Regions from separate parts of the Mus musculus genome. Here all the other regions are reported to be linked to region 1. Evidence: microRNA targets listed by miRTarBase, many of them from high-throughput screens and not tested one by one. Region 1 holds a microRNA gene; each other region holds the end of a gene's coding sequence.
Evidence for each region. The annotated mature microRNA mmu-miR-466c-3p reads AUACAUACACGCACACAUAAGA and lies in region 1 at 2,086-2,107, shown strand. An mRNA with a match to its seed (bases 2 to 7 or 8) in the 3' UTR can be bound and repressed. Matches are read on the target gene's strand: a 7mer-m8 pairs with bases 2 to 8, a 7mer-A1 pairs with bases 2 to 7 and ends in A, and an 8mer does both.

Region 1 (4,068 bases):
AATGACCTCACCCACCAGGTGTAAAAGATTGACAAAGTCAGGAGGATAAGGATTGCAAATTCATGCTTAATTCAGTTAGAGGTCATCCTGGTATTCATATGAGGCCACCCATGTATGTGCATGTGTGTTTACTTGTATATGCATTGCCTCTGTTGACATGATATTCAAAATATAAACACACGTGTATATGCAAGTACAGACACAGAGAAAAAAATTGCATTCATTTATACGTTTGAATGATATGTGACTTAAAGTTTTAGATTATGCAGTTTGGGACAGTGAATGGTTTTACTCACCAGGTGTGACAGATTGTGGATCAGGAGTTCAAATTCATGCTTTACTTCATGATGACTTTAAGATATGCCTGGGATTCATGTGATGCCCCCTATGTATCTCTATCTGTATCTGTTTCTATTGTGTGTGGATTTGAGTATATGGATGTACCTATCTACACAAATATATACATGTACACAGACACAAACAGAAACACACACACAAACATCAGTGCAACTCATCGATCCATTTGAATGACGTGTGACTTAGAGTTTTAAGATTCCTCAGTACTGAATGGGGAGAGGTCTCACTCAGCAGGTGAAGTCCCTTCACAGAGTCAGGTTGATCAGGAGTTCAAATTTGTGCTGAATTTCATGATGAGTTCATGACCAGCATGGGATTCATCTTATGCCCACCAAAAATTTGCATGTGTGTATAGTTGTGTGCATATTCACTTCTCTATATGAATATGCATATACACACATGCACACACATTCATAGGAATGGCCAGAGCTATGTCTCAGTTAGGAGGTGAGTACTCTTGCCAGTGTCAGGAGGATGAGGAATTCAAATTTATGTTTAACTTCATGATGAGTTAGAGTTCAGTATGCGATTCATGTGATGCCCACCAGAATGTGCATGTGTGTATAGTTGTGTACATATTCACTTCTGTATATGAATATGCATATACTCACATGCAAACATACTCCCTCGAATGGCCTGAGCTATGACACAGTTAGGAGGTGAATACTCTTGCCAGCATCATGAGGATGAGTAGTTCAAATTCATGTTTAACTTTATGATGAGTTAGAGATCAGCCCGGAATTCATGTGATTTTCCCTGTGTTTGTGTTTATGTGTATAGGGAAGTATGCCTGTACATGCGCGTATATGAACATGCATATATATATATATATATATATATGTATACACACCCACACAACTAGGGACACATACATGTGCACACAAACACACATGGCAGTCATCCATTTGATTTATACGTGCTTATAATTTCATTGAGTGTATATTCATGGTATAGGGAATAATCTCACTTATCAGATGAAAACCACTTGCCAGAGTTAGGAGTCTCAGGAGTTCAAATTCATGCTTAACTTCATAATGAGTTAGAGATCACCCTGTATTTGTGTGATGGATCCTAGGTATGCACAAGTGCATATAATTGTGTGTGCACGTACATGTGTGTATATGATCATACATATAAATACACACACATACAAATGTATTCACACACACAGGCGTGCACACTCACACACATAAGAATGACACTCATTGATCCATTTGAATGATATATGTCTTAGAATTTTGCTGATTATAAAGTAGAGGGACAGTGAAGGTCTCACTCACCAGGTGTAAATAATTGGCAGTGTCAGGAGGATCAGGAGTTCAATTTCATGCTTAACTTCATGAGCAGTTAGAGATCATCCTGGAATAATGTGATGGCCCCTATGTATGTGCCCGTGTGCGTAAGTGCCTGCATGTATATGCGTGTATATTTTATGCATATACATACACACACCTACACACACATGCACACAGACATGCGGAAATGGCCTTCACGGATCCATTTGAATGATATGTGACCTACTGCTTTGGAGGTTATGTATGACTGGGCCAGGGTGAGGTCTCACAAACCACGGGAAAACCCTTGGTAGAGTCGGGAAGATCAGGAGTGCAAGTTCATAGTAAAGGCATGATGAGTTAGAGGTCATCCTGGCATTCATGTGATTGCCCCTACGTATGTGTATATGTGTTGATGTGTGTGTGCATGTACATATGTGAATATGATATACATATACATACACGCACACATAAGACACATATGAGCACACAGACACAGGGGAATGGCACTCGTCAATCCATTTGAATGATAAGTGACTTAGAGTGAAAATGCTTGCTAGAGTTAAGAGTATCAGGAGTTCAAATTTACACTTATCCTCATGAGAGATCAGCCTGTGATTCCTCCATGTATGTGCATGTGTGTATAGTTGTGTGTGCATGTTCATGTCTATATTTGAATATACATAACATACACACACACGTATAAACGCAAGCACACATACACAGACACAGGAATGGCATTCGCCAATCCCTTTGAATGATAAGTGATGTAGAGTTTTAGAGATTATGCAATAGGGGACATTGAATGGACTCACTCACCAGGTGTAAAAGATTGACAAAGTCAGGAGGATAAGGATTGCAAATTCAAGCTTAACTTCATTTGGAGATCATCTTGGTATTAATGTCATGCAACCCATGTATGTGCATGTGTGCTTACTTGTATGTGCATTGTATGTGTTGACATGATATACATAACATAAACACACGTGTTTATGCAAGCACACACACACAGGAAAAAATTGCATTCATTTATACGTTTGAATGACATGTGACTCAAAGTTTTCAAGATTATGAAGTAGTGGGACAGTGAAAGGTTTTACTCATCAGGTGTGAAAGATTGTGGATCAGGAGTTCTAATTCATGCTTTACTTCATGATGACTTAGAGATATGCCTGGGATTCATGTGATGTCCCCTATGTATCCCTATCTGTATCTGTTTCTATTGTGTGTGGATTTGAGTATATGGATGTACCTATCTACACAAATATGTACATGTACACAGACACAAACAGAAACACACACAAAAACATCAGTGCAACTCATCGATCCATTTGAATGACATGTGACTTAGAGTTTTAAGATTTTTCAGTACTGAATGGGGAGAGGTCTCACTCAGTAGGTGAAATCCCTTGACAGAGTCAGGTGGATCAGGAGTTCAAGTTCGTGCTGAATTTCATGATGAGTTCATGATCAGCATGGGATTCATATTATGCCCACCAAAATGTACATGTGTGTATAGTTGTGTGCATATTCACTTCTCTATATGAATATGCATATACACACATGCACACACATTCATAGGAATGGCCAGAGCTATGTCTCAGTTAGGAGGTGAGCACTCTTGCCAGTGTCAGGAGGATGAGGAGTTCAAATTCATGTTTAACTTCATGATGAGTTAGAGTTCAGCATGCGATTCATGTGATGCCCACCAAGAATGTGCATGTGTGTATAGTTGTGTACATATTCACTTCTGTATATGAATATGCATATACTCACATGCAAACATACTCCCACGAATGGCCCGTGCTATGACTCAGTTAGGAGGTGAATACTCTTGCCAGCATCATGAGGATGAGCAGTTCAAATTCATGTTTAACTTTATGATGAGTTAGAGATCAGCCCGGAATTCATGTGATTTTCCCTGTGTTTGTGTTTATGTGTATAGGGAAGTATGCCTGTACATGCGCGTATATGAACATGCATATATATATATATATATATATATATATATATATATATATATATATATACACCCACACAACTAGGGACACATTCATGTGCACACAAACACACATGGCAGTCATCCATTTGATTTATACGTGCTTAGAGTTTCATTGAGTGTATATTCATGGTATAGGGAATAATGTCACTTATCAGATGAAAACCACTTGCCAGAGTTAAAAGTCTCAGGAGTTCAAATTCATGCTAACTTCATAATGAGTTAGAGATCACCCTGTATTTGTGTGATGGATCCTAGGTATGCACAAGTGCATATAATTGTGTGTGCACGTACATGTGTGTATATGATCATACATATAAATACACACACATACAAATGTATTCACACACACAGGCATGCACACTCACACACATAAGAATGACACTCATTGATCCATTTGAATGATTTATGTCTTAGAATTTTGCTGATTATAAAGTA
Region 2 (4,068 bases), not on the chromosome of region 1:
ATTAATAACTGGAATTTATCTTCTAGGGAACAAGATGAGAGCGCACCTGGTCGGGCCATATCCTTAGTACAGAACCGAACTCATGTTTTCTAAGGGTGAGCAACTCAAGGCTGACAGTTGTGTGCATTTACCCTAGAGTGAGCAGCAAACTAGAGCATTGAACTGGAAGCATACTCTCTCTCTCTCTCTCTCTCTCTCTCTCTCTCTCTCTCTCTCTCTCTCTCTCTCACACACACACACACACACACACACACGCACGCGCACGCGCACGCGCACGCGCACGCGCACACACACACACACACACACACACACACACACACACACACACACAGGCACACTCTCTTTTCCTCTGCCTTAACCTTTAACTCTTTTTGTTTCCTTAATTATGCATTTCAAATCATGGTTCTCAAACTGTCCCCAGACCAGCAGCAGAAACATCACATAGAAACCTGTGACCCCAGACCTCCAGATTCAGTCTCTCCGGAGGAGGATAGGGACTCACAAAAACAGCGTTGGTTTAACAGTCGCCCTGGGTGGTGTTCTCTTAAGGACTGGAGATTATATATATAACCAGTAAATACCCGAGCTCTGTTTATTATTACTTTTTGGAGTAAGTCTTTGATTTGAGAGTGGGCACACCTGCTAAAAGCACACTGAATTGCTTGTAAAAATTTTAAGTCCTACAAGCAATGGGGGGGGGGCGGGGGGAGAAGGGAGATAGAGAAGGAGGGAGGGAGGGAGGGGGAGAGGTGTCATTTGCTGCCACATTATGAGTCTGTGTCTGAGAACTCAGACTTTTGGAAACACCTCATTTTTCTCCTAGGTGGCTATAGTAATTTGGTCATTTGCCTGGTCCTTTTTGAAAGTGCTTTCTCTAGGATACTTTTTATAGCTTAAAGGTCACATGACACTCCTCATTCTCTCCCCTCTCCCCTCCCAGCTCTACTGGCTTGGGACAAAGATAGTCTCTACTCCTTTGCAACCGCATCTTAAATTTTGGCACTGGAACCTAGGCTGGGTACCAGGCAGCCAGGGAGTTGCAAACTTTGGGGAAGAAGTGAGAACAAGAGGAGCAGGGAAGAAGGGGAACATGGGAACACGGTGAGTGTGGGCAGGGTCTGGTGGAGGGGGTTAGTGGCCAGTGATGCTCTGTGGGAGAGGAAGGACAAGGGATGGAGAGAGGGAGTAAGGGATGAGGGATGTTGGGAGAGAAGGAGAGAGAGAGAGAGAGAGAGAGAGAGAGAGAGAGAGAGAGAGAGAGAGAGATGAGGAGGGAGGGAAGGAGAGAGAGAGCGCGCGCTTATTTCTGAAGAAAGTTTCATTTTGTAGGAGTAATTTCACTAAACAGCTTTATGCAAGTTCAGAGAACGGTTTTCTGAAAAAAGTTTCATTTTGTAGGAGTAATTTCAGTAAACAGCTTTATGCAAATTCAGAGAACACCAGAGGGAGGTGGAAATCTATCTGCTTAGAAGAAACACATTTTAGACCATACAAAGGACCATCACCACCGCTGCTAAAAACACACCCTCTGTTTGGGTGTAGTCACCTGCCAACTCATTCAAGTACTGGATATTTATTTGCTGGATCTGGTCTTTCACAAAGAGGTCACACATATTATAATTTCATTGAGCGGGATTAAAGCTTGGACAGCAACTGGGGGAAACACAAACCCAACTCTTACTAATGTTATCATTATTTTTTTCTTGTAAGGATGAGAAAGCTGGATCTGGCCCTCTGAGAAAACAGCCCCGTGTGGAGCCAGGACTTTGGTTTCTCATGACCTTTCTCCTCAAGCCGAGGCTTCAGATTATAACTAGGATGAACAAAGACTTTAAAATCGTGTATGTCTCCTGTTTATGGAGAAAAAGCTTCTATGGGGCCACCCGCGCAGAGTGCGCAAAACGTCAAGAATTTACTTGGCTGGTAAAAACGTGACTAGAAACTTGGGAATTTTCCTGGGCTAACCGCAGCCTGACTTCTGGTGGTAACACTAACCTTCCTTCCTCTGCCAGAATCCCTGGGTCCGTCTGGCGAGGGCCCCATCTCTTAGGTGGAAGGGAAGGCAGGTGAGCGTATGAGCAGGTGTCACCACCTAGAGTTTGAACTGAACTCTTGAAAGTCAAGTTGGGATAGGTCTGAGGCGTCGCCAGACGCCTTGAAATATCATCCAGTGAAAGTGTGCAAACGACACAGATGAAGAGTCACTGGACAGCGGAGTTTGCACCTGGGGCTCGGTGGCTTCTCAGCTGTGACAAACCCCTGGAATAGGTGTTTCCCGGAAGATCTCACGAAGGCTCCGCCCCGCGTGGTCCTTACGTGGGCTGGAGTCCTGAGTAGAACTTATCCTAACCAGGTACCAAAAGCAGCTAAGAAGTAATGGGGGGGGGGGAGGGGGTAAGGGGTGTCTAAAAGCGAAGCGGAAGTTTCAAGGCCTCTAAGAGGGATAACAGTATAAATAACCGAGGGCGTCTTGTAAACACTGCGGTCATAACCCCGAACATTAAACAGCCGCGGTGGCATCTGGCACATCGCCGCGGCGGGCTGCGCTGGGGCAGAGGCAGCAGGGTCCCAGGCTCCTCTGCCTAGCCTCTCTGTTTATCTCAACTTAATCTTCCCCTATGTGCTGTTCCGCAGTCTGGAAGATGTTTAAGTTACTACCCAGCCCGCGGGAAATCTTGGCGGGAGCTTAACGAAAGGGGTAACCGCACCGAAAAGCAGGCAAGAACGGTTACTGTTGCAATTAATTAATTAATTGCCAGTCAGTAACAAGCAAAATATCTTGCTGCATTTGAAATTCACATGAGAGCTTCAATCTCTTCTTCACTGGATTGCAAGCAGCGTTTGGGTCTGTTTTTAAAATCACAGAAAACACACGGAAAGTTATAAAACTCTCATAGTTTACTATCAGGATCCTCAGAACAAGCACACTGTAAAACAGTGGAGAGTCAAATTTTCTTTTTCTTCGTTGTCCTCGGGTCTGTGTGACTGGATAACTGTAATCCTGTTCATTCTCTATTTACAGTTATAATATCTTTAGTGGGCTTAAAATAACTGGGATGAACAAAACAAGTTTTCAGTAGGAAACATGACTTGTCTTTTCCTAGTTGGAATCAGAGTTAATCTTTTTTCTAGGATCTTGGGCTAAATGTTAAAAAAAACTACCTTTTAATCATGAAATGTCCCCATGGATTCCAATGTTCTTCACAAAATTTTAAAAAAGAAATCACACCAATGTCCAGGCTTTTTTTTTTTTTTTTCAATATAAAGAAAGATTTATTTTCGGAAGTAGCAAAACCTGTTTGAAAAAAATATATTTCTTCGAGTGACTTATTTTATAAATGTGACTGTCAAAGTCAGCTATTCTATGATCTACATTTTACAACATATTGTACAAAAGATACACATTGATAGGCTCTTCTTATCTATTTATATATAATATATATATATAATTACATATTGCACTTGGACCAGCCAGGCTTGCAGTCATTCATGGCAGAAGTTAATCAAGTTAAATAGATGAGAATCGGTAAGTACAGTTGGTCTCCTTTGGTTTGGAAACGAATCTCCTCGTCGCAGTTAAGTGTTCTTGCGGGGTGGGATAGGGAGAGGAGCGATGCAAGGCACCAGCAGAGGCAGGGAGGGAAGGGCAGGGGTCGTCACCCTTGCCGGCCCACTGCCCCCAGAGCTCACGGTTCCCAGACTCGCACCTCCAAGGTCAGGATGCTGTAGTTCCACACAAGCGGTTGGCGGTCACCACTTCCTTCAGGTCATTCTCTGGTTTGCCGGCCACCATAAAGGGCCACGTCTGCAAGAGAGAAAAGGGTGGAGAGGGTGAGTAGACATGGGGAGGCGGCGCAGTGCGCAGGCAGGCTAGGACCAGAGAGGCCACGGGTCTGTCGCTTCCTAGGTGTATTAATGCCAGGCAGGGTAATGCAAACAACCCCAGGAGGTGGTGGTGGTGGTGGTGGTGTGGAGGTGGAGGTGGAGGTGGGGGTGGGTGGTGGAGGTGGGAGGTGGAACAAGGGCAAAACAGGTCTCCTGGGTTCTAACTGGAACCCCGAAACAAGC
Region 3 (4,068 bases), not on the chromosome of region 1:
CAACAGGCAGGAGAGGTGTGTGGGAACCAAGACCTAGAAATAAAAGCCCTCCTTTACAGCCTGTACTTTCTTTACTTATCTAGTTTTAAAGCTCACTCAGTTTGAACATAAACTGACGGGTGGGTAGATTGCCTTTCTGCTGGTATGGAAGGGTGGGGCTTCTACCTCTCCCTAGGAGGCCTGAGTGTTAACTGTAGCTGACCTAGAGGCCTCGAGTGACTACGGTGAATTAGTGCCATGTAATACCACGCGTGTCACAGAAGCCACGGGCATTGTAATGCTCGCTCCCCACAAAGCCACCAACCAGTGTCTTTCCTGAGCTTCCCATTAAAACTGCTGATCTCTCTACAGAGAGAAGAAGAAAGAACTGGAACGGGAAGAGTTGTGGAAAAAACTAGAGGAGCTGCAGCTGAAGAAGGCTCTAGAGAAACAGAACAATGCTTACAACATGCACAGTATTCGCAGCAGTACCAGTGCCAAATAAAGATCAGCTCCCCCTGCTGGGCGGTCGTTTTGTACACTTTTTTTTTTTTTTGAATATATAAAAACTTCAGAGCAGACCTCATCAGTATAATATAATTAGGAGGCCAGTTTTTCCTGGCAAGCGTAAAAGCGAAAGAATTATGGACTAAAACATAGCCCTGTGCTGTATCACGGCCACAGTATATTGTAAACTCTGTCTAATCATGGATTGTGTCACTGTCTCTGTTGAGTGAGGTGATCGTGGGAGTGGCAAGCGTGTGTTGCGACTTGAGCCCGGTTGTGCTGCACACACAGATGAAGCCGTCCTCTGCACACTTCCTTTATCATGTGTTTTCACCGTGCTGCACACCTTGGTGCTGCACACCTTGAGTACATCTGAGGAAAGAGCCTCGTAAGATAAGCGGAGGGGTTGCCCTTCCCTCACCTCTCCTAGAGAGGTGTGGGCAGGGGACAAGAGCCCAGCCTCATTAAAGACACTGCCATACTCTGGGTTTTACAACATCTGACATTTCCAGGCTTCTGAAGCACAAAGTATTAAAGTTGGGGGGGGGAAGTAAACCAAAATTCTGATGTTCCCAAATCCCCCCTTCAGCAGCGGCTCCCCGGAGCGTGTGCGGAGCAGCACAGGCCACGGGTGGACCCGAGGCTCACCTCCTTCATTCCTCTCCTCCAAGGCTGGAGGCAGGGCCTTCCCAGTCCTCACCCTGCCAGTCCCCAGGCCTGCCTGCCTGCAGGGTGGAGCTCTGGGTCCCTCCCACAGTGTGATGCAGACTGCTAGCTGTCACTGCCTGGCTTTATTTAAAGGAACTGCAGCAGGTGTCCTCAGAGCTGACTATGTAGAAGCTTTGTCTGTTTTTACCTGGTCAGGTATTTTTCACACTGTTGTTACCAGTACCATTCCAGCCTCTTGCCTTGCAGTTGTATGGAAAACTGTTTTATAATGAGAGATCTTTACTGAGGATTGAGCAGCATTTAATAAAGTCTATGTTTGTATTTTGCCTTATGTCATTTGCTCTTTTGTCTCTGGAAGATATTTATATTAGAGAATTATAACTTACGGATGTACTCTAATTAGAATTAGGTTGCTTGTGGTCCAGGGATTAGGAGTCTAGCCATCTAACCGATCTTTTCATAAAATCCCAAGCTTCTTGTCCCTCCGTGTTCTAGGACAGTTTAACATTAAAGCTAGTTTTAACTAAAACGGGAAATCTCAGAATCCATGGCAGTAGCAGTTCTGGGAAAGGCAGGGAGACTGTAACATGGTTTCAACTAAACACCAGTTTAGAAGGGTCACAGGGGTTTTTTGTTGCTGTGACAGCAGCCTCCATGACCTCTGGACAAACTCCCTTGTAATACAGTGGCCTGTAATTTTTGCTCTCTTTTCAAGCAGTGGGCATCCCAGGGAGGGCCATTGTTGCAGTCCAATGAGGCTGCTCCCTTTAGGCCTCTGCAGAATAGCCCTGGGCGACCCACACAAAACACAGGGTTGCGGGCTGGTGAGATGGCTCAGTGGGTAAGAGTACCCGACTGCTCTTCCGAAGGTCAGGAGTTCAAATCCCAGCAACCACATGGTGGCTCACAACCATCTGTAACAAGATCTGATGCCCTCTTCTGGAGTGTCTGAAGACAGCTACAGTGTACTTACATATAATAAATAAATAAATCTTAAAAAAAAACAAAACAAAACACAGGGTTGCCTTTCCAGAAAGTGGAAGTCGGGTTTTTATTCTATGAATAGGCAAAAATTACTTCCTAGTTATCTAAAGCAAAATTAAAAGCAGCTCAGCTTTCACAATACAGGAAAATAAAGCTTTAGTGTTCACTGAGGCAGATATTTAACTACTGAAGTGCTATGCAACTGTGAACTTTAAGGGCCCTGCGTGGTAAGCACACATCCTGTGACTGGACTGCACCCCTGCCCCTCGACTTTCTGTCCTTCACATATTTTTAATGTCACTGATGCTTTATGCTTGGCATTTGTGCTAAAATGGTGTTTTATAATAAAAGTTTTAGGCTAAAAATCTAAATTCTTGTATATATGTGAGACAAAGGTAGCAGGAATATTTCACAGTACAAGTTTATTTCTAGGGATTTGGGCAAAACAGTTTCTTGCTGCTAATTTAGAGACAAAAATGTCCTCCTTATACCTGTGAGTATTTCCCTTCCGATTCCCTAAGGCATAATTACAAGTTCTTCAATGTTACCTCTGGCCACATGTGGAACTCTATTATAGAGTTTTTGGTTTTATGTAGAGGTGCTGTTTATCAAAGCCCTAAAGGCCACCCTTTTAGGTGTGTGTTTCTGTAGGACGCAGGGACTAGCTCATGTGGTGTGGCCATCCCTCTTGGCCACCTGTGGACAGTGCACAGCTTACCTCCCTGTTGGCAGTGATGTGTGCTGAGTCAGAGCCATTATGCTGCGGTCCAGACTTACACTACCTTCTGGGTTTGCTGGCCATACAGCATCAGCGTCCAGCGTTGCTGCCCGCTGGCTTACTGGGTATTCACTCCCATCCCTTTTGTGCTTGCCCAACCTTATTTACCTGTTAATGAAATCAAGATACACTAAGTAGGTGCCTACTGTATATACCTCTGCTAGCACTTCTAGCACATCAGAAATACAATCACAAGTTTCTAGTAGCCTTTAAGGTCTCGTGTAAAGCTTGCGGGGAGTGATGTAGGCTCTTAGTCTCAGCAATGGGAAGGCACGAGGAAGGCCTGGTCTACACAGTGATTACAGCGGGGCTACATTTAAGGAAAAACAAAAAAGTCAAATCTAGGCTCTAACAAGTTCTTGTTAAGTAACAGTAGATGGTCTAAAAGGAATTCTGCGTACAGGGCACATCAGTCCGCTTTAAAGAAAAAAAGCCCTAAGGGAAAGAAGAAGCCTTAACTATTTAGTGACCAAATAGGAGGAACCTCTCCAAGGCACTAGGCAGCTCTGCAAGATGTCCGTTAATAATTTAAGTACTTAAATAAGTTTCAGGTTATTCACTGGGCGTTTCCCTCCCGGGCCGGGTTTGAGCCTCCAGTGCGATGGACGGGACTGTCCTTCCCTGCAGGGTCCCTTCAAGTGAGTTCAGGATTGCTGGTGTCTCGCTCTGTCGGAGTGCCGTGGCACGGGCGCTTCAGCTTATGTGGTTTGTCGCCTGGCCTCTCCGTTTAAGGTATCGTTTCCTGATTTTGATCATCCATTTCACGCTTAGTTTGGCAAACTCTGCTGCTTTAAACAACGCCAGGAAAGCCCCGCAGAGCAGGGCGATGGTGTTCCAAGGATTGGCTGTGATTATCTGTGGGGCAGACAAGACCGGGATTGCTGGTTGGCGGCAGCCTTGACTCTGTCTGTCTCAGACTTTGGAGCCAACAGAGACGCATGCTGCTTCTGCCCTACCACTGCTCAGAAGGGAACTGTGAGCCCCTCCACGTAAAAGGATTCCGCCTCAAAAATCTTTGTGTAAATAAGACATTCATACTGTGCTTAATCTAACAAGTGACCCAAAGAAATTTCCCTAAACTATACCTCAGCCTCAAGGTTGGTCCCTCTGTCTGATCTCAGCTACCTCAGCCTTCAGCTGTCCCCTCACAC
Region 4 (4,068 bases), not on the chromosome of region 1:
AGTACAGTTAGATTTCACATAAATTACACAGATTAACTTTTTAAAACTACTATTCAATTCTTTTAAAGTCCCTTTTAAGTTTTCATTTTGAAGGCACAGTGCATGAAATAAAACAAAAGACTGAAGCACTTAAGACAAATGGGTGTTATGTCATAGAAATTGTTGTGGAGAATTTTGGATCTGGGGAAGTATTTGGAAAAAAAAAGAGGTAAAAGGAACATAAAAAAATACCATGTCACACTTCCAAAAAATCTGCAGCATTGAATGTAGCTAGTACATTCATGTTACACTATTTATAAACATTGTAATTGTCTGTATTTACATAATTTTTATCTAATTGCCTCAAAATGGTAACCTATTTTCAAATTTCAAAATCAACCAGGATAATACTTTGAGAGTTAAGTGGAACTATTAATGAAGTTTTTCCAAGTATAAAGGAAAAGTGTATTTGGGAGGGTTTTCTTCAAAAAACTAGAAACCCAAATTCAATTGACATTAATCGAAGGCCCTATTCACCCCCCAAAACTGCTATAATTAAAACAAATCAGAAACCTAAAGTTATCAACAAGTTGCTAGACAGAAAGATCATTGAATATTTAACCATTAGTGGAATTTTAGTAATAACAATAAAGGAAAAATTGGGGGAAGATACTTGGGTGCTACCATAAAACAATCCACCAGAGACCCACACTGCAGGACACCATGACATGTTCATAGCCAAGAAGCTTCTGAGAGAGCAGGGACCAAACCTGGCAGGAGTGTGAGTCTGGCAGACGAGAAACCTCTAATGCTGGGGACAGGTGGAAATGAATGGAGTATTGAGCCGTGGTTCCTGGTGAGCTGGTGCTAGCTCAGAAACGCAGCAAGTTCAGACATAAGCACGACCCTTTTATTTTTCACTCATAATTAGTTTTAAATTCAATATTCATTAATTCATCAAATCTCATTCAGGTGAAATTACCAAAGATTAACCAGCCAAGCACACTGAGCCAAACATACAATGTTTCCTTCCCCAAAGTTAACAGAGTCCCAAAGCCAGTTCTCTTCGGTGAGAATGGCAAGTGTTTTTCGTTGGATCAGATCCCAGCACCACCCGGAGTTCACTGCTACACCAAAGCTGGTGTAGTTACTTGAGATCATCTTACCAAACCCTATGAGCACAAGTGCATCCGCACAGGGAGAACTGTGAACATCACCGATCCATCACATTGTTTTTGTTAAGGAGCAGGGAGGGAAGAAGGCTTATAAACTCATCACGAGGACAAAGCAACACCTTGTGAGCAAAGGAAAGGCACATCTCAGACTGGGGCAAACTTCTAATACTGTGACACTTGAGTCCAGGACTCTGAAGAAATGGAAGGTCTCCAGGAGAAACACTGGAGGCATGCACTGCCCACCCCATATGGCTTCAGTGTCCTCGGCTGCCGAAGTAGTGTAGGATTAGATCGGTTTCACAACCCAAAGAAGGCTGGGCTAAGAACAAAGTCTTGTAGTCATGGGTCTTGTACATTCATGTTCATAGGTGGCAGGCTGGGGAGGCCGGATTTTCCGCCTCAGTACATTAGAAGTTCATTAAAGACTCAAAACTTAGAGCAGAATTTGGGTTTCATTTCAGGAAAAGATGACTAAGAGAACTATTCTATATATTCATCTCTAAAAAGGTTTCATACATACTTAAGAAGGCATGGCCTGTGACCAAGGCATGGCCTGTGACTGCTGAGATGAACTGTTAAAGACACACTTAATGCCAGAGAACAAGTGGAAAGTGTCCTTTAGTGAACTCTAGTAACGTGAAGGCTGTCACATGAACTTGGTTTCTATTTGTCCCAAGCAGGGCCCAGCCACAGGCCACTTGTTGGTTTTCTGACTTGGCACTTTTAAAAATAAAGCTGAAAAAGAACAATACACATCATTTAGGAAAACAAAGCATTACCGGAAGAGATGGAGTCATGTGCTCTTCATTAGCATTAACTGCCACTAATTGTTCTGTTCATGCAGAGAAGCAAGGTTCAGATATGCTGATACCAGGACAGATTCCAGAACAGCTGGACCTAAGCCACCTAAGTGACCGTGACTAACAGATACCAAGATCTCATTAGCCCCTTCCATCAACTAAGATCTCAACTTTACACAGCCACTTGGGTGCATTCCTCACCAAGTGTGGCCGAGTGACCTGGGTGAGTCGAGCCTTAGGGTAACTGATACATCAATGGCATGAATGCAGTTTGGAAAGGTAAGAGCTAGTTTTGTGATCCCCTGATTTAGTACAAGTTCAGCAGCAACTTGGCCATTAAAAACATTCAAAGATATTAAACTGTTACGTCATTGGTAAGACTCACACTTACAAAAAGCATCATTCCACTGAACAGCATTCAGACAGACACAATAAAATACCAATCTTTTAGGCCTGACTGGCATTGAAGAGGACACCTTCATACCAATGTTCTATCACATGGCAGTCCTTCAGTTGACTTTTTTACATGGAAAGAACCATATTTCAAAGCTTAGAACTGAAAATTTTAACATAATTGCTTGATCAAAAAAAGAAAAAGAAAAAGACTGTCAAGGGAATCATAGGACAAAGGACTGAATTACTTTTGGAGGCCCATGTGCAGAGGCCACACTATCTCCATGACAGTATGCCATCACAGGGCAGAGGCTTGGGCCGGAGCATCAAGTGTAGACATTTTGGATCCAAGTGTACTGAGAATGTGCAAGTAGGTTTCTTCCACTTTTAGATAGTTTCAGCAGTAGAATTCAGAACCTTTAGGTGTGGGTCATATGGAAACCGCAGGTGTACACACAGAAGGGCTGAAATGTAGGAAATGCTAAGGAACAGGCGTTCCTAGGAGAATGAGTGCTTCACAGATAAAGCAGCAGCACCTATGGGTTTTACCAGGATAAGACAGACAACGTCCTTGCTTCTGCTCCATCTCCCTTTCACCTCTACTCATGGGACATCTGGTGCCTCCACAGCAAAGCCAGTGAGTTCTCCTCTAGGATAAAGATATCTAGAACTTTGCTAAACCTTACAAGAGAGGTAGTAAAATCCTGCTGAGAGCACAGCCCACCAGTTCTGACCCAGCTTGGAAACAGGTAGAAAGACAAATACGGAAGCCCGTTTATTCCATTTCCTAATGTCAGATCTGTCTAAGCATCATCCAGCCTCCATTAGACCTGAATAAGAGAAACCCCAGCTATGTGCTAACTGGAGAAGAGAACTCCTCAGTAGATGGAGAAAAATCTCGAGTTTTTAAAGCTTTGTGTCAGAGTCTGACTGGTGTCCCTGCCTTAATGTTTCTGGATTCTTTTGGCCTTTAAATTAAAGAGAACAAAACTAAAGCCACTAGTAAATGTCTGATGTGCAAGATACAACATCTACTAGCTGGCTTTATGCTGTCTCTATAGAGTCTCTGAACAGCTCGTCTTAAATTAAAAAGGGAAACAAAGCGGCTGCCCCATCTTCTGCTGCATAAATAGAAATCAGATTTTTTTTTTTAAAGAAAAGGTTAAGAGTACTTTAAGGAAGGGAAGTTCAAAACTGCCTGTGACATTCAGAGAGTATGAATTTAGCAGGCTAACTTCCCAAAGCTCTTTGAAGGCGGAAGGAATTTCTCTTCTTACTGCAGTGTCTCCCAAGAAGAGCTGTCATTTTGCCTGGTACGTATACAGGGAGATATGCAAACCGTGCTTTTCAATGTTTGCTAGAATATAATGTTTCCTCCTCTGTGTCCGTTTCATCCTGGAACTCATGGCTTAGGAGGGACTTCTTAGAGCCAGTTGACATCATGCGAATTTCATCTTCATATTCATCATGATGCTGCCGCAGCCGGTGGAAGCCATCTTTGTGTCTATTAGACTTGATGGAGCAGATGCACCAAATGATGCAAGCCGTTAGGATCAGTGCTGACATAGTGGCACCTGTCCGACAAAACCATGCGGGAGTGTTAACAAGCAACTACCTCTGATGACACTATTAATAATATGACATTTACTTTAATTGCATGCAATTAAGAGCAATTTGATTGTCTGTTGATGATCCTCTGTGGTAGACCTGGCAGACAAGAA
Region 5 (4,067 bases), not on the chromosome of region 1:
TTACTAGCCAGCATAAGCCAGATAGTTGAGAACCTGTACCCCAAACCAAACTAAAGAAAGAATTATAAAACTAACAATTCCTGAAAAACAACAGTAGGTTTCCCAGACTCCCCCAGTCTGTTGGTAGGAGTGCTGTGTTGTATCCCCAAGAGAGTGAAATCCTTCCCACCCCTAGGTGGAGGTAGAAGTGATAACACATTTTCTTCTTAACTTTAGGTTGACTTTCAAACTATGCCACATGTACTGGAATTGGCCTGGTACCATCCGAGTTCCAGCTCCTTGCAAGTATGCCCACAAGCTAGCTTTCCTGTCCGGACAGATTTTGCATCATGAGCCAGCCATCCAGCTGTGTGGGAACCTGTTCTTCCTGTAACTGGGAACTTGGACACCGGCTGCAAGGAGCAACTGGACTCAGCTCAGCTCCTCCTTACAGAATCAACAGAAATGGCAGTGGAATTTTATGTTTGCATTTTCTCTTTCTCCATCCTTGTAGAATTAGATTTCTGTTCTTCTTTTAACCCTGATATCATAGTAGGGTGTTGTGGTGCATGCCTTTTATCCCAGCACTTGGGAGACTGAAGCAGGAGTATCTTTAGTTCAAGGCCAGCCTAGACTACATGGTGAGTTCTAGGCTAGCCAAGATTACAGAGTGAGACCCTGTCTCAAAAAACAAAAACAAACCACTGTCCCCTCAAAGCCCACAACAAAACCAAAGCCTGGGGTCAAGGAAGCAAGTTTGTAGGTAGCCGCTGGCTGCCCGCTGCCTTCATGGAGTGTGTGCCGTCAGCGCTGCTTCTCCTCAGCCGAGCGTGGAGCTTCGGACAGGGCAGTGATGACATGTTCTTAGCATGTCAAATCCCCCTACCAAATAAGTCAAGCAAGGAAAAAATAGCCCCCAAGGCAGCCTGAGCATCAGTTCCTAGAGGTTATGCCTACAGAACCATCCTATTTCTGGTGGCAGAAGTGACATGAAGTCATTGCAGACATCTTAAAGGAGAGTTACTGTGCAGCTGTCTACATGTGTGAAAGACATGTAGAAAAACCAGCGTAGGGTACAGTCGGGCGTATGTGCCCACCTGACCCAGGGCTGTGAGTCTGACTTCCCGAGAGTCTGGCTAGAGCTGCTTTTCTGGTCCTTTTGGTTATTTGCAACCATCATCAGATTGCTTTCCTGCAGCCCGACTGATACACGCATGTGCGCACGCACACACTTTTGTTCTTTGTGACTAATCTTGAATAAATTCAATTAGAACACATGGAAAGGATTCAGCAGACCTAGGAACATTTGGGGTGGAGTGTAGTTTTTCTGCAAAAGTCTGTAAATGAGATTACGCAAGAGTCTCTTCCAGCTGTGGGCTGGTGTTGCTTGGAAAATTTCAAAATCCCAAAGTTTCAGGCTTCCCAAAGTTGGCTTGGAAAAATGTGATAGTCTCACCTGAGTCTAGACATGTAGGAAATTTTCCTAGGGCCTCTGGGCTTCAGTATTTGGGGGAAGCACTGGTTTTCTGTGTTATTTTTTTCCTTCTGTTTCAGAATCTTCAAGTTTCTTCAGGCTTCAGTGGGCCATCCCTTTACTGGGCTCTAAAAGCTAATTTTACTTAACCTTTTCAAATGTGTATGTATCTATTTATGTTTTGGTGTGGTGGATGGATGGTAGGGGACTGAGCAGAAATAGTCATTTTAAATAACAGTGTGCTAGGAGAGCCTCAGTGTGAAGTCCTGAGGAGCAGCGGGGGCTGTGGGAGTCAGTGTCAGCCCTCACTCAGACAGGCCAAGCCTGGGCTCGAAGACAACATTGTCCAGGGAAGCCTTTAGTTTGCTATAGCACCCAGAGGTTGGCGAGGAATAAGGGTTAGGGTCCTCAAATACACCCATGGCTTTTGGAGTCTATGACCAAGGCCAGGCTGAGACCTGAAATGTAAAAGCCATAGAATTAAACAGAACAGACTGAAAAACGAGTCTTAAGTTCCACTTTCTGGATTTCTCTGGAAGTCTTTTGAATTTGTCTGTAGAAGTTGCTGTTCCTAGCACTCCTTTTCTCTTTAGGTAGAACAGATACTTGACCATAATGCCAGAATGTACTTTCTCTGCCTTGGTTTTTCTATGCCTTGTTTTTCAGTTTCAGGGCCAAACAATTGGGCCCTGTGGTGTAAAATAAAAACAATGTATGTGTATAGTTGTGTCTGAGAGAATATTGTTTATTAAGTGGCTTTTCCTTCAAAGAGAAGCAAAAGTTAGAGTTATTCCTTTATTATTGTGCGTGTCAGGGGCAGCACCATTGGGAACAAAGTGATTTCACCCTGAGCAAACTGGGAGACCTACATAGCAATGCATTAAGTTTGTGAATGTGTTTGAATCATTTGGGGCTTTGGGTAAATAAGAACCCTCACCAGCTTACTAAGAGAATACTCTCCACTAGTATATTTTCATCAGGGTGCTAAAAAAATAAATATAATTACTTACTTATTTTATTGATTGATTGATTTTTCAAGGCAGGGTTTCTTTGTGTAGCCCTAGTTGTCCTGGAACTCACTATGTAGAATGTAGACCAGGCTGGCCTCAAACTCAGAGGTCCACCTACTTCTGCCTCCCAAGTGCTGGAATCAAAGCTGTATGCCAACACCACCTGGCTTGTTAGTTTTTCTTTCTATTTTTAAAATCAATTTATTTATTTTTATTTCATGTGCACTGGTGTTTTGCCTGCATGTATGCTTGAATGAAGGTGTCAGATTCTCTGAAACTGGAGTTACAGGCAGCTAGAAGCTGCCATGTGAGTACTAGAAATTGATCCTGGGTCCTCTGGAAGAGCAGCCAGTGTTCTTGACTGCTGAGACATCTCTCCCTTTGTCAGTCTTTCTTAACAGTTACTGTTAGCTCAAGAAAGAACCAGTAAGCTTTCGCCAGAAGTGACCTCTCTACCATTAAGAATTTTTTTTAAGTTACATTTATAATATGTAGGGAGGCAGGGAGATAGAGGTCAGGCCTCAAGGTCCAACACTTGGGAGGCAGAGTCAGGAGGATAAGAAGTTCTCGGTCACCTTTGACTATATATTGAGTTTGAGGCCAGGCTTCAGACATGAGACCCTATCTCAAAAAAAAAAAAAGCACACCAGTAAGATGGCTTGCTGGATGAAGGAACTATGCCCCTAGCCTGATGATATGAGTTCCAGGAACACACACACACACACAAACCCCCAAATAAATGTCCCTGTTAAGTACACTTTCTGGTGTGTCTGTAACCATTGGCCCAGTGACAGTAACCTGCCTCATTGTTTTTATCACTTCCAACCACATGCCTTTACAACCCTGCATTTCTTTACATTTGTTAAAGAAACTCTATGTTTTAGAGGTCTTGTTTTGTCCCCTTCCCCTTGGTTTTTTGAGACAAGGTTTTTGTGGTGGTTTGAATAGGAATGACCCCCGTAGACTCATGTGTCTGTATGCTTGGCCACAGGGAGTAGCACTATTAGGAGGTGTCCTTACTGAAGGAGGTGTGGCCTTGTGGGAAGAAGTGTGTCACTGTGGAGGTGGGCTTGGGTTCAGTTATGAGCACACACATGGTGACTCACTACAATCTGTAACTCTGGTTTCAAAAGATCTGCTGCCTGCTGATCAAGCTGTAGAACTCCCAGTTCTAACAGCACCATGTCTGCCTAGAGGCTGCCATGCTTCCCACCATGATGGCTAAAGCTCTGAAACTGTAAGCCAGCCCCAGTTAAATGTTTTCCTTTATAAGAGTGCCTTGGTCTTGGTGTCTCTTCATAACAATAAAATCCAAAGTAAAACAGTTTCTCTGTGTAGCTCTGGCTGTCCTGAAACTCACTCTGTAGAGTAGGCTGGCCTCAAAAGTCAGTCAGAGACCTGCCTGCCTCTGCTGCTTGAATGTTAGGATTAAAGGTCTAGGCCACCGCGCCCGCCCGGTTTTTCCTCCCTTCTTAAATGAGGAAGTTCTTGATCTCAATCCAGGAAGTACCTTACACTTGCTGTGTTGGCTTTACTCCAGCAGCATTTTGTTGAATGAAGTGAAAAAGAACAGTCTAGGGATGACTTGCTCTTTTATCAAAAAA
Region 6 (4,068 bases), not on the chromosome of region 1:
TGTGTGTCTGTGCCTGTGTGACCGTGTATATGTGTGTGACTGTGGGGGGGGGGGCTGTCTGTGTCTGTGTGTGACTGTGTGTCTGTGTGACTGTGTGTCTCTGTGTGTGTGAGACTATGTGTGTGTGAGGTGTCTGTGTGTGACTGTGGGGGGCTGTCTGGGTGTGGCTGTGTGTGTGTATCTGTGTGACTGTGTATGTGTGTGTGACTGTTGGGGGGTGTCTGTGTGTGACTGTGTGTGTCTGTGTGTGTTTGTGGTGGGAGGGCTCAAGGACTTCCTCTTTATTACTCATCTTTAATTTTTGAAATATTGTATTTGTAAAAGGGAGGAAATGCCCCATTGTGGGAAATGTCACCTTTTAGGTAGAATAGATTTTAATTTAAATTCAGCGCTCTTTTGTTTTACATCCTTGACCATTTCAGCATAAATTTCCCCCAGTGTCCTAACTTAGAAAGTACTAATTACTTCCTACTAGAACCACTTAAGGAAGAGATTTAACCATGTGCCCAAATCACCTGGCACCATAGCCCAGGTCTTCATGGGTATTTAACAACAGAAACTGACAGGCAACTGAAGTTAACAGAGAGACATGGAATCGGAGCACTACATCTTTCAAGCTCTTTAGATTTGCGGATAAGTCCTTGAGAAGAAGATACAGACTGGTGCTAAGAAATGTCGATCTGAAATTGTTCTCGTGGATCAGGGGACAAAGTAACAATGGAGCGCTGGGGCCACTAGGCTGTGACTCAGGTCCAAATTCTTAACAGCAGTGTGCCTTTGACTAGGGCAGCCACCCGACCCCTGGAGTGGGTTTCCTCCTTTGAAAAACCAGGACAGACCTAAGCATCTTTGCTTCCTTTAAAGTTGCCCAAGAAAAGCTGTGATGACCTCCACTGCTCAGAGGGGGTTCGTAGACAGCCCCTGTCACAGAAGGCTCATGGACAGCCACTCGGGGGGGGGGGGGGTTCCTGGTTCACGGCCAGCTTCTCAGAGGGGGCTTACAGCCAGCAGCTAGCAGATGTGCACACGCAGATGAATTTGCTCTCTTTGTATTTGCTACTCTGGACACAGGGTTAGTTATTTTGTAGACGCCACTTGGGTTATCTTTGAGTTTTCTGTTCTGCGGTTACTTGCGTCTGATGTTGACTGCTTTGAAAGTGGTGAAGTGCTATGCTTCCTTTAGCACAAAGGCAGGCAGCACTAAAACCTCAGAGTCCCTGCTCATGGCTTTGGAACACCAACCAGAACCCAATGGTTTCCAGAGGAAAGAAAAGAAGAAAAGCAACAGGGGAAAGAGTACTTTTATTACAGGGCATGAAAACGTAGGGCCGTATAAAGGAATACATCATGAATTCATGTAGTATCAGCTACCCAGTGAAAAAATAACCAGAATACACGAGCAAACTGGACTGTGTGTGGGAGGATTACATATTTCATCTCTAACTACTTCCTTCCCCATCATCTACCAGTAGCAGCAATTTTAAAGTAACTACCCAAAGAGCTGTTACAAAGAAACATCACATGGGGGGAAACACCTCAAGAATGCTCGTTTATAAATGAACCAGTGCAAACTACTCAAATCGTAAAGAACACAGCCTTGGGCTTATCTTCATAGAGTAGGAAATAAGAGCCCTGAACATTCTTCACTAAGAAATTAAAAAAAAAAATGCAACTGTACTTTTATCAGTGAAAAATAATAATATAGATATTATAAAACATTCTTAACCCATGACTACAATGATTACACTTACTGATGTTCATTCAAGTACTGATAGCAATAAGCATTCAAACGCTCAGCAAAAGGACTGTGACACTGGACAAGCCCGGACAATGCTTCCTCTGAAGTGACAAGGGCCACATCAACAGGAGGCAGGTGACCCTTACATCAACAGGAGGCAGGTGACCCTTAGAATACTGTTGATGGTTTATTTTTGTTTTCTTGTTGTTTTTTGTCTGTAAAGGATTTTTCATAGTGTTTTTCATAGTGTGTGTGCATATATATATACATACATACATACATACATACATACATACATGTATATATATATGTATGCGCAATATTATCTGCAAGGACCCCATGGAACATCTTACAACAGCTAATTAAGAAGTTATTTCTATAAAATGAGTCAAAGATACCAAAACGAACATTCTAAAACTCAACTTTATGGTGATGACGATGATGGTGACGATGGTGATGATGGTGATAATGGTGATGATGACCATGATAAGGCAAAAATATGTTTTCTTTGGCAAGAAGTTGTTAATTCCTTACCAAGTGTTGGTTTGTGGGCTTTGTAGAAACTGTAAGAACACTCTGTTTACTCACCAAAGAGCTATTTAATGGGCTGAGAGTTCATAAACACTTTACCAGGCATAACAACAGTGGAGAGCTATGGCAAAATCAGGTTGAAATCAGCATTGCTTGTTGGACTACCATTATTAAAAACTCTTCCTTCAAAAAGCTCCTTTCTAATCTTGGCCTGAGTCTCAGGCTTTAACAAAAGTTCTTTTATCTGTTTCACTTTGGATTTCAGCTCCATCCTTTCTCGGTGCAAAGCTTCATTAATTAAGTCTTGGGTTCCAACTGGCTTCTTGCCTAAGGGGAAAAATTATATAATACATTTAAAGTACAAATATCAATGAAGTACATTAAATATGGCACATTGACTTATCAAAATAAGGCTTAAAAACCTTTAAAACATCACCCACATTTCATAGAAAAGATTGCATTTTACCAAAAATATATACTTTACACGAAACTTAATTTACTGTAAATAAAGATCACCGTGTGGTAACAACACATAGAGGACAAACAGGAAACATTGTGGACTCACTATACTAATGGTCATTTCAACAATGACAAACTGAACTTAGCACTTGATAGCTGTGTGCAAGTTTTGGCCTCCGATAAAGTAGTCAAAGGATCGAAGCAATGTAAACGGCAGTATTCTGTCTGTGGCAAGTCCTCTCCCTCCCTCCGCCTTGTGAGTCAGGCAGGCGGTCCGAAAAGCCCGCTCTCCCTTGTGCATGGTCGATGGCACACCGACTTAGTGTTGTTCTTCTGTAAATTAATTTCTTCTGCTGGTCCCAGCACCCCATTCTTTTCTGTTGTGTCGCAGCAACACCGAACGCATCAATCACATCAATCAGAGAAGTATTAGGTGATCTCCAGGGCTTGAACAAGACACATTGCGAGTTAGTCTACGACTTAGCAGAGGGGCATCGGACCGGACTGGATTCAGCTCTCACTTCCGGTTGTTATCACTGCCATCACCATTCCGATCTCCCTCCTCAGCTTTGGTGGAGTTCCCCTCCCCTGGCTGCTTTTTGTTCTGCGTCTCTTCTAGGTACTGCTGGACAGCCTTGAGCACGGCGTTCTCCACCAGCCTCTTACTGAGCCTGACCAGTTCAGCATCCTCAGGCTCCCTTCGGTCCTTCTCACCTACATTCCACAAGAGAAGAGAGGTCACTGAGCTCGTATTGCCATAGCAACTAGGCCACCAGGGTCCAGCTAGTTCAGCTAGTTAAAAGAGCAAGTGCCCTTCACTCTGGCAAATGGGATCTATAATTCCAACAAGACTGGGTTGCTTTTTCCTATGACATTTGTCCAAGCAGGAACCTGTCTATTCCTGCAGACTCTACGCTGAAAAGCAGCCCGACACACCCTTGCGGGCAGCGCCGCAGCCTTTCATTTCTACATAGCTCTGCGCTCCTCTCTCACCCAAGGCTTATGACAGCTGTGGAGCTGCCTGTACCCACACCTAGGGTCTCGAGCACATGAATTCACCAAGGAGCTCTGCATCTGCTGCTCCCTTTCCAGTGCTAGCTATCAGGAAATCAAGACTGCCCCCGTTATCTTACAGGTTAGGCTCACTCATGTTTAAACGCTTGGCATAGAGATCATTGTCGATAAACTCCCAGCGCTCACACACCAAGACAGGTGTAGTAATCACGACCAGTAGCAGCTGGTTTTAAAAAGGACTGCAGGGCTAACATCCTGATTTTAAAATCTCATTGCTATCACTGTAATTTTAGAGATAGGAAATTCTCCTAGGAAGGGTTAAGATA
Region 7 (4,068 bases), not on the chromosome of region 1:
TTTTTCTATTTCCATTTTTAGATCTTGGATGGTTTTATTCAATTCCATCACCTGATTGGTTATGTTTTTCTATAAGTCTTTAAGTCTATTGGTTTGTGTTTTCTCTTTAAGGCCTTCTACCTGTTTAGTTGTGTTCCCCTGTATTCCTTTGAGTTATTAATGCCCTTCTTAAAATCCTCTGCCAGCATCATGAGATATGATTTTAAATCTGAATCTTGCTTTTCAGGTATGTTGGGGTATCCAGGACTTGCTGTGTGGTGGGAGTACTACTTTTTTTTGATGCTGGGTAATCTTGGTTTCTGTTAGTAAGATTCTTATGTTTGCCTTTCCCCATCTGATAATCTCTGGTGTTATATGTTCTAGCTGTCTCTGGCTGGAGCTTGTTCCTCCTGTGATTCTGTTAGCCTCTGTCAGCACTCCTGGGAGTACAACTCTCTCCTGAGTCCCAGTGGCCAGAACACTTTCTGTGGTCAAACCCTCCTTTTGCAGGGAAGGTGCACAGAGGTCTGGTTTTCAGATCTGCCCCCTAGCTGAAGATGAAGGCCCGAAGGGACCCTGTCCAGAATCTCTGTTGCTTCTGCGGCCAGCATGCTCTTCTGCTTGGATTGGTCTCTGAGAAACCCGGTAAAGGAGATGGCGCTCTCACCTGAGTCCCCTAGTCAGAGACCTCCCTGGAGGCCAACTTTCCTCTGGTGCCCAGAGGTCTGGGTCTCAGCTCTGCCTCCTGGCTGAGGATGAAGGCATGAAGGGACCCTGTCTGTTGCTTCTGTGGCCTGTGCGCTCCCCTGCGTGGACTGGTCTCTTAAAGACTCAGTATACAAGATGGCTGTCTTACCTTAGTTCCGCAGTCAGAACCTTCTCTGGAGGCAGACTCTCTTCAGTGTTTCTAAGATCCTGGGCATGCTAGGGCACCTATGGCATGGAGAGTCCTCTGGGGACAGTGGGACCATCTATACAGTTTGTGGCCAAGGTGGCCCAGGGCTGGTCCCTACTGGAATGAACCCCAAGTGCTGGTTGGTTAGGTTTCCTGTATTTTTGTACCTGCTGGCACAAGTCCCTCCCGGTTGTTTTGGAACAGATGTTGCATTCCACTCACCAGTGATCCCAAGATCCTGGGTATACTAGGGTGCCTATGGTGTGGACAGTCCTCTTGATATGGTGGGACCATCTGCCGAGTTCGCGCCCAAGGTGGCTCAGTGATGTCGTTATTTTTAATAGCTGCATATTAGTCCATTGTGTAAGTGAGCCACATTTTCTGTATCCATTCTTCAGTTGAGGGACATGTGGGTAAATAAGTCAAGATTTTAGAATTTTCAATTATTTTTGTTTTCATGTTTTAAACTACCTATTAACAGCACATGTTACTTCTAGATTGCATCCAAACTATCTCCCTTGCTATATACCCTACATCGTTCTCTAGGGTATAGTATGGTATGTATTCTTGATGCTCCCATCTACTTGCCTTCCTCAAACTGCCATATATAGCCAGGGTCACGCATCTAGTGCCTGGGCCTATTCTGGCCTCTCTTGACTGGGCTCTAAATGATGCCTAGGCTTTTGCAGGACCTTATCTACCCATCACCTAGTCCATAGGCCCCTCTGAAACCACATGTGACCTTTTCACCTAGCCAGATCTACCCTCACACTCTAGGCTTGGACCAGGAGGCAAATCTTATATATCAACCCACTCTCCTCTGTCCACCTGACATCATTCTATTCAAGTTAGATCTAACTTCTAATTCCAAGTTGCCTGTACACGTTCTCTTCTGTGCCAGTCTAATAGGTCTATATCAGACCTAGAACTAACAAAAGAAGTTCAAATGCTAAGATCTCATCAATGAACTATCAATAATATCAGGTTTTGTTGCATTGAATTTTCATTTTCATTTAATTCCAGGATTTTTTTTTTAAATTTTCTCCTTGACCCACTCATCATTCATTAATGAGCTGCTTAATCTCCATGTTACATCGTTATCAAAAATTCTATAGTTTTTTTCTTTTTGTTGTGTCTTTATATGACTTTGGTAATAGGATAATACTGTTTTCATAGAGTGAGTTCTAGAGAGTTTATTTCCTTTCTGTTTTATGGAATACAGTGAGAACCATTTACTCTCTCTGTTCTTTTACTATCTGATAGAATACTGCAGAGAATCTATCTTTTCTGTGTGGATAAAATCTTTTTTTCCTATTGTTTCTTTGAGCAATTCTTAAGAATAGGTCAGCTGATGGCAAAAGTTGAATTCCACAGTGATATCTTAGCATACATGAGTTCTTTCAGTTAGGTTTAATACTGCCAAAGAAGCCTTATGTTTGTGAAATTGTTTATTTCATTTCAGAAAGATAGTCTATCTAGGCATATTTATAATAGACTTTTTCTTTTAGTGCATGCTACTTAATTGATTATAGATGTCATGGATTTAGAACAGATACACAGATATTTGTTTTTTTGTTTTGCTTTTTTTTTTGTCTTTGTGTGGGTAAGGCAACATCCCCTCATGTCTATTTTAAGTAATTGAATTTTTTCATGAAATTTGACTGTGTTTATCATATGTGCGGACACCACTGGATTTACCCTAACTAGAGTCGCAAAGAGTTTTGAATCTTTAAGGTTTTAACTTCTACTAAAGTTAAAAGATTTTCAGCTTTCCCGTCTTTGAGTGGTCAGGCAACACTATAAATATGTATATATATAATTTTTTCCCTTTTGAAGCACAGTAGTGTGAATGTCGAATATTTTCTTGTTTGACTATTCAGTCTGCTGCAATTTTTTTAGTATGTTATTGTAATTTTCAGATGGAATAATTTGTATTGATCTTTCAGATTCCAATGCTGTGCTCCATATCTTGCATTCTAGTTAAGCCCATTCAGTAGATCTTTTCTTTTTCTTTATTCTATTTATGGTATTTGAAGATAGACACTTTATAATATTTGCATTTTCGTTATTTTTCTGTGAAAATGGTTCATAGTCAATGGCTGGCTTTCATAAAAATACTTGAGATTTCAGTTTATTTTGTAGGATCAAAACCTTGATTATAATAACTTATATTAACTTATTATGATTCTAAGTGAAATTGAATCATCTTTTAAAAACTATTTTTGGTAACAAATTTGAACAGGTTTAATTTTTTATTGTTAAATGAACAAAAGAAATGATGAAAAATTAAGTTTGTTAGACACTGACATTTCTAAAGTGTCAGTGACGTAACCCAAACTCAGAAAGACAAACACTGTATCTTATCTCCCATCTATGGTACTTAGCTTCAAATTTCAGAAGTGAGTTTATTACCTGGAACAACTACATTAAACTGGAAAGATCAAAGAGGCTATGGTGGGATGGAGAGGAGTACTAGAGAGGGAATATCAGTATGTGGGTGAAATGAAGAAAGAAATGGGAAAAATGGTTCTCCAATATTATGTTGTCAACCCTAAAAAGAATACAATAAAGAAAGCAATATATAAAGCAACAATAAAGACGGGCTACATTTATATATTTATTCATTTATTTATACATACACATAGCAATAATACATTATGCATGTGGAATTATAATTAATAAAAATTCATTTTATAAAGAGTAAAATGAGTCAGGGGACAATGGGTAGCAAGCAGTGGGTAGAGGGAAGGAGAAGTGGTGTAATTATATTTAATTAAACATAAAAATTTGAAAAGAAGTGACCCTTTAGATTTAATCACACATAAATATTATAAAACTTAAAGAACTTTTTAAGGATTGGATCAGTATGGACTGCCCCAGAAATAGATAGGAAGGATGAGAGCTTTTCATTGATTAGGCACAATTTGGTCTCTCAGGATACTGATGAAATCAGAAACCTTCTGTGCATCATTGTTCAAGCAGAAAAACAAACTATGCAAACCAAAAAGTTGAACTCTCCTTTTTGATTGCTGTACATATGGCTCTCCTGACCAGGCAGGGTAGTCTTCATTTTTCTTAAGGTCAGGATTAACCTATTTACCAAATAAAAGTCAGCCAGTTATTATTCACATTATTAATATTTATTGAGCTTCATTATTTAAACAATTTGAATGATATTTTGAAGAATATTATGA

Region 2: the mRNA of Tcf21 is a reported target of mmu-miR-466c-3p. Seed matches in the 3' UTR shown: 7mer-A1 at 3,450-3,456.
Region 3: the mRNA of Pacc1 is a reported target of mmu-miR-466c-3p. The part of its 3' UTR that is shown has no 7-base or 8-base seed match.
Region 4: the mRNA of Cpd is a reported target of mmu-miR-466c-3p. Seed matches in the 3' UTR shown: 7mer-m8 at 1,668-1,674 and 7mer-A1 at 319-325.
Region 5: the mRNA of Piwil2 is a reported target of mmu-miR-466c-3p. Seed matches in the 3' UTR shown: 7mer-m8 at 1,616-1,622.
Region 6: the mRNA of Akap7 is a reported target of mmu-miR-466c-3p. Seed matches in the 3' UTR shown: 7mer-m8 at 2,028-2,034, 7mer-m8 at 2,024-2,030, 7mer-m8 at 2,020-2,026, 7mer-m8 at 2,016-2,022, 7mer-m8 at 2,012-2,018, 7mer-m8 at 2,008-2,014 and 2 more.
Region 7: miRTarBase lists Prl5a1 as a target of mmu-miR-466c-3p. Seed matches in the 3' UTR shown: 7mer-m8 at 3,507-3,513.

What each region holds. Positions count from the first base shown.
Region 1 is chr2:10,481,935-10,486,002 of GRCm38, forward strand. Mir466c-2 (microRNA 466c-2) reads left to right here and starts at 2,032; the gene lies at 2,032-2,121. The region is part of intron 10 of Sfmbt2 (Scm-like with four mbt domains 2); the gene reads left to right. It overlaps Mir467a-3 (microRNA 467a-3), which reads left to right and starts at 1,744; the gene lies at 1,744-1,826. Mir669a-6 (microRNA 669a-6) reads left to right here and starts at 2,262; the gene lies at 2,262-2,348.
Region 2 is chr10:22,814,022-22,818,089 of GRCm38, forward strand. It overlaps Tcf21 (transcription factor 21), which reads right to left. Exons shown (of 2, transcript NM_011545.2): 2 at 3,242-3,805. The coding sequence ends at 3,716. It overlaps Gm10824 (a long non-coding RNA gene), which reads left to right. Exons shown (of 5, transcript XR_380181.3): 2 at 27-95; 3 at 941-1,101; 4 at 1,711-2,353. Among named protein-coding and RNA genes, the nearest start is that of Gm10824, 2.7 kb to the left of the region's middle.
Region 3 is chr1:191,349,393-191,353,460 of GRCm38, reverse strand. Pacc1 (proton activated chloride channel 1) reads right to left here. Exons shown (of 8, transcript NM_025864.4): 8 at 2,177-3,772. The coding sequence ends at 3,611. Ppp2r5a (protein phosphatase 2, regulatory subunit B', alpha) reads left to right here. Exons shown (of 13, transcript NM_144880.4): 13 at 352-1,480. The coding sequence ends at 484. Among named protein-coding and RNA genes, the nearest start is that of Pacc1, 26 kb to the right of the region's middle.
Region 4 is chr11:76,778,490-76,782,557 of GRCm38, forward strand. It overlaps Cpd (carboxypeptidase D), which reads right to left. Exons shown (of 21, transcript NM_007754.2): 21 at 1-3,921. The coding sequence ends at 3,695. Among named protein-coding and RNA genes, the nearest start is that of Gosr1, 17 kb to the left of the region's middle.
Region 5 is chr14:70,370,586-70,374,652 of GRCm38, reverse strand. It overlaps Piwil2 (piwi-like RNA-mediated gene silencing 2), which reads left to right. Exons shown (of 23, transcript NM_021308.2): 23 at 217-2,176. The coding sequence ends at 373. Among named protein-coding and RNA genes, the nearest start is that of Slc39a14, 21 kb to the right of the region's middle.
Region 6 is chr10:25,167,807-25,171,874 of GRCm38, forward strand. It overlaps Akap7 (A kinase (PRKA) anchor protein 7), which reads right to left. Exons shown (of 8, transcript NM_001379238.1): 8 at 1,284-3,442. The coding sequence ends at 3,246. Among named protein-coding and RNA genes, the nearest start is that of Gm36313, 16 kb to the left of the region's middle.
Region 7 is chr13:28,151,015-28,155,082 of GRCm38, reverse strand. It overlaps Prl5a1 (prolactin family 5, subfamily a, member 1), which reads right to left. Exons shown (of 5, transcript NM_023746.4): 5 at 3,488-3,966. The coding sequence ends at 3,781. Among named protein-coding and RNA genes, the nearest start is that of Prl5a1, 11 kb to the right of the region's middle.